3 linked regions of the Canis lupus familiaris genome follow. The protein of the gene in region 2 purifies or fractionates together with the protein of the main gene of each other region. This does not show direct contact. Links are inferred from orthologs where the notes say so. Each region holds a gene or a part of one and is shown on either strand. Other genes may lie near its edges.

Region 1 (4,415 bases), on a different chromosome or scaffold from region 2:
TTTTCACATCATCAGCCCTGGCTGGGCAGTCCCCACCACAATTTGGGGTTAGGGGTTTGGTCCTCCTGGTGGGCAGGCATAAACAACACCAGCTGTGTAGAACATTTAGAGTTGTCCTGTCGTGTTCAAGGCCTAGGCCAGTTGTTCCTATAAGCTTAGTGAGATGGTGCCCTATTATTGTTCTTATCCCCATTTTATAGACAGAAACTGGGGCTGACACTCCATCGTGCCTTCCCAGTCTCACAAGCCTGTTAAGACAGCAATGTGGAGGGACCCCACTTTGTTATTTGTTATTTGTTGTGTGTGTGTGTGTGTGTGTTTTAAGATTATTGATTTATTTGTGAGAGACACACACAGAGAGAGGCAGACACAGGCAGAGAGAGAAGCAAACTTCCTGCGGGGAACCTGATGCGGGATTCGATCCCAGGACCCCGGATCACGACCTGAGCCGAAGGCAGGTCTAGATTCAATTTCCTCATCTGTTATATGGACAGATAACACTAACTCTTAGTGTTGTTCCAAGGATTAAATCAATATTTTGCATGTGTTTACCTGCTTATGGTCTGTTTTTTGCTCTAGACCGTGAAAATCATGCAGGGACTTTGGCTTATTCACGGCTGTATATGGTTAGAGTCTGGAACAAGAGCCGGGCACATAGTAGGTGCTCAGTATTTGTGTCCTGAATGGAAATGACATGAGGATAGCCGAGGCCAGACCCTGGCCCTATTACCCGCGAGAACGTTCTGTTCTACATCCTTAGTTCCCTGGACTGTTCCAACCGGGCAGCCAATGGCCAAAGGGTGCGGGGCCTGGGGGCTGGGGCCGAGGGGACCTACTTCTGGCCTTGGGTCAAGGTCAGCAAAACTCCCAGGAGTGCGGAGGCCATTTCTGCCTGAAAAGTCTCCGAGGACGCAGTCTGCAATGCCTGAGCCCTCAGGTTCCCCTTTCCTTTTTTTTTTTTTTAAATAATAGAAAAAGCATTTTTGTTGCCCGAGCCACCGCGGAGCGGAGGTTGCTGCGGAGAAGGGCCACCCTGGCCCGAGCACCAGTCTCTGGGAAGGAGCCGAGCCCGCGAGGCCCGGCCGGACCGCAGGGACGCCCGGCGAGGCCAGGCAGGAGGCCCGGCGGAGGCGAGCGGGCGGCGCGGCCGCGGGCGGGCGGGAAGGCTGGCGGGGAGGGCGCGCGGGCGGGGGGGAGGGGCGAGGGGCGAGCGCCGCCCCCGCCGCCGCGCCCGCCGCCGCGCCACCTTAAGCTCGGGACCCCCTTAAGGGCGGGCGCGGAGCCGCGCGCCCGGAGGCGGGGCCTCCCATGCAAATGAGGGGCGTGGGTCGGCGGGGCGGGGCGGGCGGGGCGCTGACCTGACGTCAGGCCGGCGGCCGGGGCAGTTGGCTCGGCGGCGGCGAAGCGGCAGGAGCGGCGGCGGGAGCGGGGCCGCGCGGCGGGGCGCGGGGAGCGGCGGCGGCCGACCCGGAGCAACATGGCGCCGGTGGGCGGGGGCGGGCTCCCGGGCGGCGGGCCGGCCCGAGGGCGCCTCCTCCTGGCGGCGCTGCTGCTGCCGGTGCTGATGTGGGCGCGGGGGGCCCGGGGCCAGGGCGACCCCCAGCGGGGCGCGATCCTGGGCATGAGGCTGGCGAGCTGCAACAAAACGTGTGGGATGAACCCAGATGGCATCATCTTCGTGTCCGAGGGCAGCACGGTGAACCTGAGGCTCTATGGCCAGAGGCTGGGCTCCATCTCCAGCAACCTGATCTCCTTCACCGAGGTGGACAACTCCGAGGCCGTCCACAACTCCACCAACTGTCCCGAGCTCACCAAGGACCTGGTGGTCCAGCAGCTGGTCAACCTGAGCCGCGGGAACACGTCCGGGATGCTGGTGGTGCTCACCAAGTTCCTCCGGAGGAGCGAGAACATGAAGCTGTATGCATTGTGCACCCGGGCAGGGGTGGACGGGCCCTGGCAGAGGTGGACCGATAAGGACTCGCTGCTCTTCATGGTGGAGGAGGGTGGGAGGGTCCTGCCCCTCTGGCTGCACATCCTCCTCATTATGGTGCTGCTGGTGCTGTCGGGCATATTTTCTGGCCTCAACCTGGGGCTTATGGCCCTGGACCCCATGGAGCTTCGCATCGTGCAGAACTGTGGCACCCAGAAGGAGAGGCGCTATGCCCGAAAGATCGAGCCCATCCGGCGCAAGGGCAACTACTTACTCTGCTCCCTGCTTCTGGGAAACGTGCTGGTCAACACCTCCCTCACCATCCTTCTAGACAACCTCATAGGATCTGGGCTCATGGCGGTGGCCTCCTCCACTATTGGCATTGTCATCTTTGGGGAGATCGTACCTCAGGCCTTGTGCTCCCGACACGGCCTGGCTGTGGGTGCCAACACTATCATTCTCACCAAATTCTTTATGCTCCTCACCTTCCCCCTCAGTTTCCCCATCAGCAAGCTACTGGATTTTGTTTTGGGCCAGGAGATTCGCACCGTTTACAATCGGGAGAAGCTGATGGAGATGTTGAAGGTGACAGAGCCCTATAATGACCTGGTGAAAGAGGAGCTAAATATGATCCAGGGTGCCCTGGAGCTACGGACCAAAACCGTGGAGGATATCATGACCCAGCTCCAAGACTGCTTCATGATCCGCAGCGATGCCATCCTGGACTTCAATACGATGTCGGAGATTATGGAGAGCGGCTACACCCGCATTCCCGTGTTCGAGGACGAGCAGTCCAATATTGTAGATATTCTCTATGTCAAAGACTTGGCCTTTGTGGACCCCGATGACTGCACCCCCCTCAAGACCATCACCCGCTTCTATAATCACCCAGTACATTTCGTCTTCCATGACACCAAGTTGGATGCCATGCTGGAGGAATTCAAGAAGGGTAAGGCCTGGTGAAGTTCTGCCCGTTAACTGGCTTTGTGACGCCTCTTGTTCGTTCGCTTGCCTGTTTTGTGTCTGCTGGTCCTAGTGTTTTTGTGTGTGACTGCCCATCACTTCCTGTGCCTCTGAGGTGAACGGTATTTGGGGCGGCAGGAACGGTTCCTAAGCATCTGCCGTCTGCCAGGTACTGTGCTTTGTACTCTAGGTGAATCAGAGCCCAGACAACACTTGTGCACTTGGAGGGATAGAGCAAGGCCTCAGGAGCTATGAAGCAGGACAGAGTAAGGCTGATGCCTTAAGAGAGGCCATGGAGATTAGAGTGTGGGCCCCCACATCTGATTGGGGTGAGGTGTGGAAGGGGCTGGGGACCTGGGAAAACCTTCCTAGGGGAGGCAGCATCTGAGGAGAGCCTGAAGATGTGGGGAGACTTGGTCCCTGAGACAAGAGGACCCCTACAAGGAGCCAAGCACCTGAGTGGGGAAGCAAAGGCTGTGCCTGTGGCCCAGCAGGTGGTCCTGTTGAGCTGGGTTTGAGCTCTGCTGTTCAGTGGTCAGTGGGGAGAGGCTGATGTCAGGGTGGAGAGTTTGCTCAGAGCTAGGAGCTGTCGGAAGTTTTCGAGCAAGAGTGATGTTCCTGGGGCTTCTCACCCACAGAAGCTGGATTGGGAGATCTCTGGGTTCCCCACTCAGAACAGTGCCAAGTAATGCTTTCGACTATTCAGCAGAAGCAAGCAGATCAAGTTTTGGTTACTGTTCTGTCTTTTCCCAGGCGCCAAACATAAGCTTCCCTCCTGTGGTCTGCTGGAAATCTTCAGCTGGCCGTGCAGTGCCTTGTGTTTTTTCTCACATGGGTTCTTGGCCAGTTCTCAGGTAGTTAGAAAGGCACTTGGAGGTTTTACTCATCAGCCTCAAAGCTCAGGGCACACACCCCTTTCCTTACGTCCAACAAAACTTTCCTCCCACCTCTGCCACTCAGAAGTCCTCAGTGGCAGTAAACAAGCCAATTATGGAGTGAAACCCTCCTAGGCCAAAGGGAGTGAGGAGGCAGAAAGGGAAGCTCTTTATAAAGGAATGGGGGAGGGGAGGGAGCACATCTTAAATCCAGGACTTTGCTTCCCTTCCCCATAGGTAGAGCTCCTGCTGGCTAAGGCAGCCTGCCAGCCTAGGGCTGGGAGCAGCTTCTGCGCTCCAGTGGGGAACAGGCCTCAGATGCTTGTCGGTCGATTATTTCATGAGGTGGGGAGAGAGCCTGGAACTGGATGGGTCCCTGGTGAGGGGGTGGGATAGGTAGGAGCTGGCCTTGCCAGGTTTGCTCTGATCAGGGCCAGAGTGGGAGATTAGTCCCCTCCCTTTTTCAGAGGGACAGACTGATTTCAGAATCTCTTCAGACAGAATGAACCTCAGCATCAGAGCTGAGAAGGATTTGAGTAACATAAGTCCAAGTGCAAGACAGCCTGGTAAGGTGGCCTGATTGCAGAGAGACTGAAGGGATGTGGACATCTGGTGGTGATGGCACAGCTCTGGGGGAGCTTTGCAGG
Region 2 (2,586 bases):
AAATTTAAGCCTGAGACATCTCTCATTTGTGAATGGGCAATGGTTTAGTTGGCTTCATACCTGAGCTAGGAGTTCTTGATACCTCTTATTTGTTAGGGGCAAAGCGAAATGAATGTTTCTATGGGAATTAAAAAAATGTTTTATTGAAGTATAACACACATACAGAGAAATGCACAGATTGTAATGTATAGCTCAATTTCCACAAAGTGAAGGCAGCTGTACCTAGAACAAGAAACAGACTATTACCAGAAACCCATAAACTCCCCTGATCACTGTTGTCCTAAATGTAATCACCACTCTGACTTCTAAGCCATAGAATAGTTTTGTCTGCTTCTGAAATTTATGTTAATATGATTACAGAAGCTGTACTTCCTGTCTGTTGGCTGAATGTTCTGTTAGTGAGATTTATCCCTGTTCTTCCATATAACAGTGCTTTGTTCATTCTCAGTTCTCCGTAGTATTCTATTTTATGAAAAGCCCCCAGTTTTTGCCTAATGCTGCTGTCACTGCTGCTATGAACATTCTTCTAAGTGTTCTTACGGGGAACAGTGCATATTTCTTTTTGTATATAATCAGGAGTGGAACTCCTGGGGGCATGTGGTAATTGTTTTTAGTGGAAACCGATCAATAGTTTTTGTTTTTGTTTTTTTTAGATTTCATTTTTGAGTAATCTGTGCACCTAACATGGGGTTCGAACTCACAACCCCAAGCTCAAGAGTTGCATGCTCCCCCAACTGAGCCAGCCAGGTGCCCCTCCTCAATAGTTATTCTAAAGTGGTTTCTGAAAGAGTTCCATTTCATTTGGTTCTCATCCTTTCCGACTCTTGGTATTATTAGTCATTTTTATTTTTAGCCATAATGGCAGATAGTAGTAGTACCTCATGGTGGTTTTAATTTGTATTTTGATTTAAAAAGTTGAGTACCAGAGCCGCTCACTCCATGGTAGAGCCTGGTGCCCCCACCACCGCCTGCGAAGCTGCCGCCTCGGGACCGGCTGTATGATTAGGCCACAATCTTCAATGAGTAAACATATTCCTCAGTTCTGTGGTGTTCTTGGTCACACATTTATGGAGTTTCTGAAGGGCAGTGGAGATTACTGCCAGGCACAGCACGACCTCTGTGCAGACAAGTGAACTGTAGAAATTCATTACTACTCCACCAAGAAGCCCCCATAAGAGTGGTTAACCTGGACCCAGAAGTGTTGAATTGAAATCCACAGAGCATGTTACAAGAGTTCTGACCTGCTTGGGGTAAACCTCAGTGCATTTCCTTTCTATTGCCTCAGTATTACTGGATTGAAGAATTGTTAGGAGGTTCATTTCATTTCCCATTACTCCCAACTTCATACTCAAAGCACTGAGAATTTCAAGTGGAGTATATCAAAGTAGACTCAGTTTCTTTGCATCATTTCTGTATTCAATTTTTTAAAATTCTTTCATAACCCTATTGAGTGTTTTCTAATTTAATTAACATGGCTCAAATGAACCGCCCAGCTCCTGTGGAAGTCACATACAAGAACATGAGATTTCTTATTACACACAATCCAACCAATGCGACCTTAAACAAATTTATAGAGGAACTTAAGAAGTATGGAGTTACAACAATAGTTAGAGTATGTGAAGCAACTTATGACACTACTCTTGTGGAGAAAGAAGGCATCCGTGTTCTCGATTGGCCTTTTGATGATGGTGCACCACCATCCAACCAGATTGTTGATGACTGGGTAAGTCTTGTAAAAATTAAGTTTCGTGAAGAACCTGGTTGTTGTATTGCTGCCCATTGTGTCGCAGGCCTTGGGAGAGCTCCAGTGCTTGTTGCCCTAGCATTAATTGAAGGTGGAATGAAATATGAAGATGCAGTACAGTTCATAAGACAAAAGCGGCGTGGAGCTTTTAACAGCAAGCAACTTTTGTATTTGGAGAAGTATCGTCCTAAAATGCGGCTGCGCTTCCAAGACTCCAATGGTCATAGAAACAACTGTTGCATTCAATAAAACTGGGGTGCCTGATGTCATTGCCTTGGAAGTGGAACTTGAAACAGGACCTAATTTGTCATATATACACATATTAGCCAATATGTTGGCTTGGTGATTAAGTCTAATGAAGCTTCCATAGGAGTATTGGAAAGCGGTTTTATCAGGCCACAAGTTTGATGGAATTGCAACCTCTATGTTTGGGTTACGATCAAACTATTTGGACACTTAGCAAAAGTTTCTTGCTTTACAGCATTTAAAATGTGCTTATCACTTGTACCAATTGACCTTTCCTGAAATCATGCAGTATTGAGTTATGTCTTTAAGTCTATTCCCATGCCAGAATCTTATCAATATATAAGAAATTTAGAAAGATTAGGTGCCAAAATACCCAGCACAATACTTGTTGTATATTTTTAGTATCATACAGAACTAAAATCCCAGGAACTATGAACACTCTGGACCTTATGTGGTTTATTCCTTCAGTCATTTCAAACATAGAAATTAGGGCCTATATGGTTATTTGCCTGCTCACTTTATGTTTACATCTCCCACATTTATACCAGTATACATCAGGTTTGCTCAACTCTTTTTTTTCCCCTTTTTTTGGGGGT
Region 3 (4,205 bases), on a different chromosome or scaffold from region 2:
ATAGCACCCTCTAGATAATAAAAACCAAAAACATGGAGACGTGGTTGGCCTAGTCACAGCGCTGAATTTACAACGTTGAAGAGACATTCTCACCATCCTTTGAGGAGTTTTTCACAAAGTATTTTTTCTTTTGATTATCCACAATGGGTCTGCTCATTTTTGCATGTTGCCTTCCACCCGTTTTACTTAATTGTGGTCACAGTGCCTACACTTTTTCTTACTATTTCCATGACCTAGCAAATGTGTTTCTGTAGAATCCTTAGGAAAATTTTAAATGACATGTAGATGTGCACCCTTATCAAAGTCTACTTTTGTTAGGAAATTTGAAAATACATAAAAATGTAAAGAAAATATACAAAAACAATCTGGATCCTTGTAGAAAAGACTTGTTCAGTTTGTCTCCTTCCGGTCATATAAAGATCATGCACAACGGGTGAAAAGCATTCCATACCGTCAAGGAACCATATTGCCTTCTAAAATAACTCTCTAGTAAGGATCCTGTTGAATAGTTCTTGTTCCCGAGAAGATATTTTCCCAAGGATTATCTGCTAGAAGTAGAGTGACCGGTAACAGGAATTTTTGACCGCGCTGCCCCTCTGCTAACGTGGCTGGGAAGGTGACCGGGGTAGTAAGTAGGTCGTGTTGGATCCTGCATCCACCCTAAGGCACGCTTCACTTTTCTCCTGTAAAAGTAGTTTGAGGATCCAATGAGGTAGCGACTTCGTGGGTTTACAGAATTACCGTCGTTCTCTCTGGCAGGAATGCAAGGTCCTTGAAGGCAAAGGGCTAGGTCTCACGTCCCCAGCCCCACAGAGCACAGTCGGGCGCAATCAGCCCTAAGAAGCTTGAGCTTCCCGACGTCGGGGCCCCTAGGTCAGCGGTGCGCGGAGCCCTTCCCTAAGAAACGGTGCGGCCGCCACACACTGGCGTCTCTGGCTCCGCGCCCCGGCTTCCCAGAGCGCAGGTGCGGCCTCGGGGCGCGCCGAGGGCCCGCGGGAACGGGACGCCCAGGTCGCCGGCCACCCCCCTGCCCCGGGAGCCGCGGCCGAGCCCCGCGGCGCCCGCAGCCCCACGCCCCACGCCCCACGCCCCCGGCCCGCCCCGGGATCGCGCCGCCGCTTGTTTACTCCCGGCGCAGCCTAGTCCGACCCTGAGGCCCGCCCTCGCCCGCCGCCTATTGGCGGAGGAGGCGCCAAGGCCGGCGACCATTGGGCCGGGGGAGGCGGAGGGGTAGGCTGCGCGGGAGGCCGAGAGGGGGCAGCGGGCGATGGCGGCGGCGGCGGCGGCGGCGGCGGCGGCTCGTCTAGGCTGGTTGCTCGCCGCGCTGTGCCTGGGCGTCGCCGCCGGGGAGGCCGCGCCGGGCCCGCGAGTGCTGGGCGTCTGTCTGGAGGAAGACGGAGACGCGGGCGCGGGGTGGGCGCGCGGGGGAGAGGCGCGGGCCGCCCCGGAGGCCGCCTTCCGCCTGCGCCTCTTCGGCTCGGGCTTGGCCAACAGCTCCTGGTCCTGGGTGGCCCCCGAGGGGGCGGGCTGCCCCGAGGGCGGGCCGGCCGCGACGCCCGGGGAGGAGGAGGAGGCGGCGGCGGCGGCCCCCGCGGGCGAGTGGCGTGCGCTGCTGCGCCTGCGCGCCGAGGCCCCGCGCCCGCACTCGGGGCTGCTGGCGGTGCGCGGGGAGCCGGGCGGCTCGGCGGCCCGGGAGGCGGCGGCCCCCGCGGGCGAGTGGAGCGCGCTGCTGCGCCTGCGCGCCGAGGCCGTGCGCCCGCATTCGGCGCTGCTGGCCGTGCGCGTGGAGCCGGGCGGCGCGGCCGCGGAGGAGGCGGCGCCGCCCTGGGCGCTGGGCCTGGGGGCGGCGGGGCTGCTGGCGCTGGCGGCGCTGGCGCGGGGCCTGCAGCTGAGCGCGCTGGCGCTGGCGCCCGCCGAGGTGCAGGTGCTGCGCGAGAGCGGCACGGAGGCCGAGCGTGCGGCGGCGCGGCGCCTGGAGCCCGCGCGGCGCTGGGCCGGCTGCGCCCTGGGCGCGCTGTTGCTGCTGGCCAGCCTGGCGCAGGCGGCGCTGGCGGTGCTGCTGTACCGCGCGGCCGGCCAGCGCGCCGTGCCCGCCGTGCTGGGCAGCGCGGGGCTCGTGTTCCTCGTGGGCGAGGTGGTGCCGGCCGCCGTGAGCGGGCGCTGGGCGCTGGCGCTGGCGCCGCGCGCGCTGCTGCTCAGCCGCCTGGCCGTGCTGCTGACCCTGCCGGTGGCGCTGCCCGTGGGCCAGCTGCTGGAGCTGGCGGCGCGGCCCGGGCGGCTGCGCGAGCGCGTGCTGGAGCTGGCCCGCGGCGGCGGCGACCCCTACAGCGACCTCAGCAAGGGCGTGCTGCGCTGTCGGACCGTGGAGGATGTGCTCACGCCGCTCGAGGACTGCTTCATGCTGGACGCCGGCGCCGTGCTGGACTTCGGCGTCCTGGCCAGCATCATGCAGAGCGGCCACACGCGCATCCCGGTGTACGAGGAGGAGCGCTCCAACATCGTGGACATGCTGTACCTCAAGGACTTGGCCTTCGTGGATCCCGAAGACTGCACGCCGCTCAGCACCATCACCCGCTTTTACAACCATCCGCTCCACTTCGTCTTCAACGACACCAAGCTGGACGCCGTCCTGGAGGAGTTCAAACGAGGTAACTGCGGGACATCGGGGAGGGGACACGAATGCCAGCGCCCTCCGCTGGAAGAAAGGGGGGAGGGAGTTATGGAAGCCTCGAGGGAAAGGGTCCCATCCTTCCCTCCCAGGGCCCTTTGAGATGATGGCCTCACAGGGCTCAGTGGCCTCTTGAGATACCTAAAGGCTGTCCTTCAGGGCGCCGTAGAAAGCAAAATCCCCCTTTTCCTGGTAGGCCTGATTTGGGGAGCCGTGTCCATTTGACTTACCAGCTTCAGGGTCATTTTTGTGGGCTTTGGCTTTGTAACAGGCCTATACTCTTAAATAGAAAGGAGGATAGTCTTCAGACACCTGGATGTTATCACCTGCGCACACAGTGTCAAAACAGCTGGGCCTGTGAAGTTTCCAGCGATCATGGTTTTAAGGTCTCTGATGGGCTGCTGCCTTGCTGATAACAGAAGAAGGGATGATGCCTGATTTTCTGCAGGTGTGGAAGAAACTTCCACTTTGATTTCACCAGAAGCAACCTTATGGATGATTTAGTCTCCCTCTTTTCTTTTCTTTTCTTTTCTTTTCTTTTCTTTTCTTTTCTTTTCTTTTCTCTTTCTCTTCTCTTCTCTTCTCTTCTCTTCTCTTCTCTTCTCTTTTTTTTTCTTTTCTTTTTTTTTAACTTCCTCTTTTCTAAGACTGAGATCTTTTGGCGTCTCCCTTAACTCCACAGTTCACCTCCTTTTACCTTGGTTTATCTGAGCAACTCTAAGGTCACATGGGTAAACATGGAGACCCAACCTCCAAGTGTGAAGGTATGGGTTCCTCTGTAGTCCTCTCCATCCTAAGGCGTGGGTGTGCTCCCCAGAGCGTGGCTGCTCTTTGTCCACCAGCCATGCTTCTCCTACACTCCTACAGGATGAAGACGGGGGACACCCCAGGGCTCTGGATGGGCTTGACCCTAAAGGCTGCATAATGTGAGGCTGGGAAGAGAGCAGATCCCCTGATCTTCCTGGCAGCTGTGAAGTCTGCTGGCCCCAGGCCACAAGAGTATAATTAGTCAGGGCGTGGTATTGAAAAGTTGGGCAGTTACTATCCTTACTGTACCTGAGGATTGAGTGGGGAGGCTTTGCTGTGCAGCTCTGACAGCTTGCTAGAGCATCTCTTGGGTGCTCGTGGCTCTTTCTCCCAGAAAGTGGTAATGCAGTTCCTCTGTGGGGAGGGGATGCCCAGGTGGGGTCTCTGATCTCTGGTGGTGAGTACTCCATCTGGGCCATTGTAGTACTCGAGGCAGTAGAGGTTCTTGTGGCCTGGTGGCCAGGACTGCCAGCCCTGGAGTGTGCAGAGGTGGGTTCCAGCCCGCCCCTGTCACATCCCAGCTTGAGACTCTGGGATGGCTGGACTGGATCCTCCAGGGCGCTGACTTTGAGCAGAGCACTGACTGATATGGAGAACAGTGAGTAGGGGGTCCAGCTAAGAAATGATCAAAGGCTGAACGAAGATGTGCAGTGGGCCGGGAAAGGAGATCCAGGACAACTTTGGGAGGTGGAATTGAGAGGGCTCTGTGGTTGGCTGAGGAGCTGTGGAG

Evidence for each region. Proteins that work in one complex are often made in the same cells at the same time.
Region 1: the proteins of protein tyrosine phosphatase type IVA 1-like (region 2) and CNNM4 purify together in Homo sapiens (affinity purification with mass spectrometry; 6 studies listed by BioGRID and IntAct, with this or other methods). This does not show direct contact. The link is inferred for Canis lupus familiaris from reciprocal best matches to the Homo sapiens genes PTP4A1 and CNNM4.
Region 3: the proteins of protein tyrosine phosphatase type IVA 1-like (region 2) and CNNM3 purify together in Homo sapiens (affinity purification with mass spectrometry; 6 studies listed by BioGRID and IntAct, with this or other methods). This does not show direct contact. The link is inferred for Canis lupus familiaris from reciprocal best matches to the Homo sapiens genes PTP4A1 and CNNM3.

What each region holds. Positions count from the first base shown.
Region 1 is NC_049231.1:46,251,415-46,255,829, reverse strand, and holds the start of CNNM4 (metal transporter CNNM4), read left to right. Parts: upstream 1-1,477; coding exon 1,478-2,879; intron 2,880-4,415. UniProt on the Homo sapiens protein: Probable metal transporter. The interaction with the metal ion chaperone COX11 suggests that it may play a role in sensory neuron functions. May play a role in biomineralization and retinal function.
Region 2 is NC_049248.1:18,637,311-18,639,896, forward strand, and holds protein tyrosine phosphatase type IVA 1-like, read left to right. Parts: upstream 1-1,411; 5' UTR 1,412-1,471; coding exon 1,472-1,993; 3' UTR 1,994-2,013; downstream 2,014-2,586. UniProt on the Homo sapiens protein: Protein tyrosine phosphatase which stimulates progression from G1 into S phase during mitosis. May play a role in the development and maintenance of differentiating epithelial tissues.
Region 3 is NC_049231.1:46,208,917-46,213,121, reverse strand, and holds the start of CNNM3 (metal transporter CNNM3), read left to right. Parts: upstream 1-1,267; coding exon 1,268-1,611; intron 1,612-1,722; coding exon 1,723-2,648; intron 2,649-4,205. UniProt on the Homo sapiens protein: Probable metal transporter.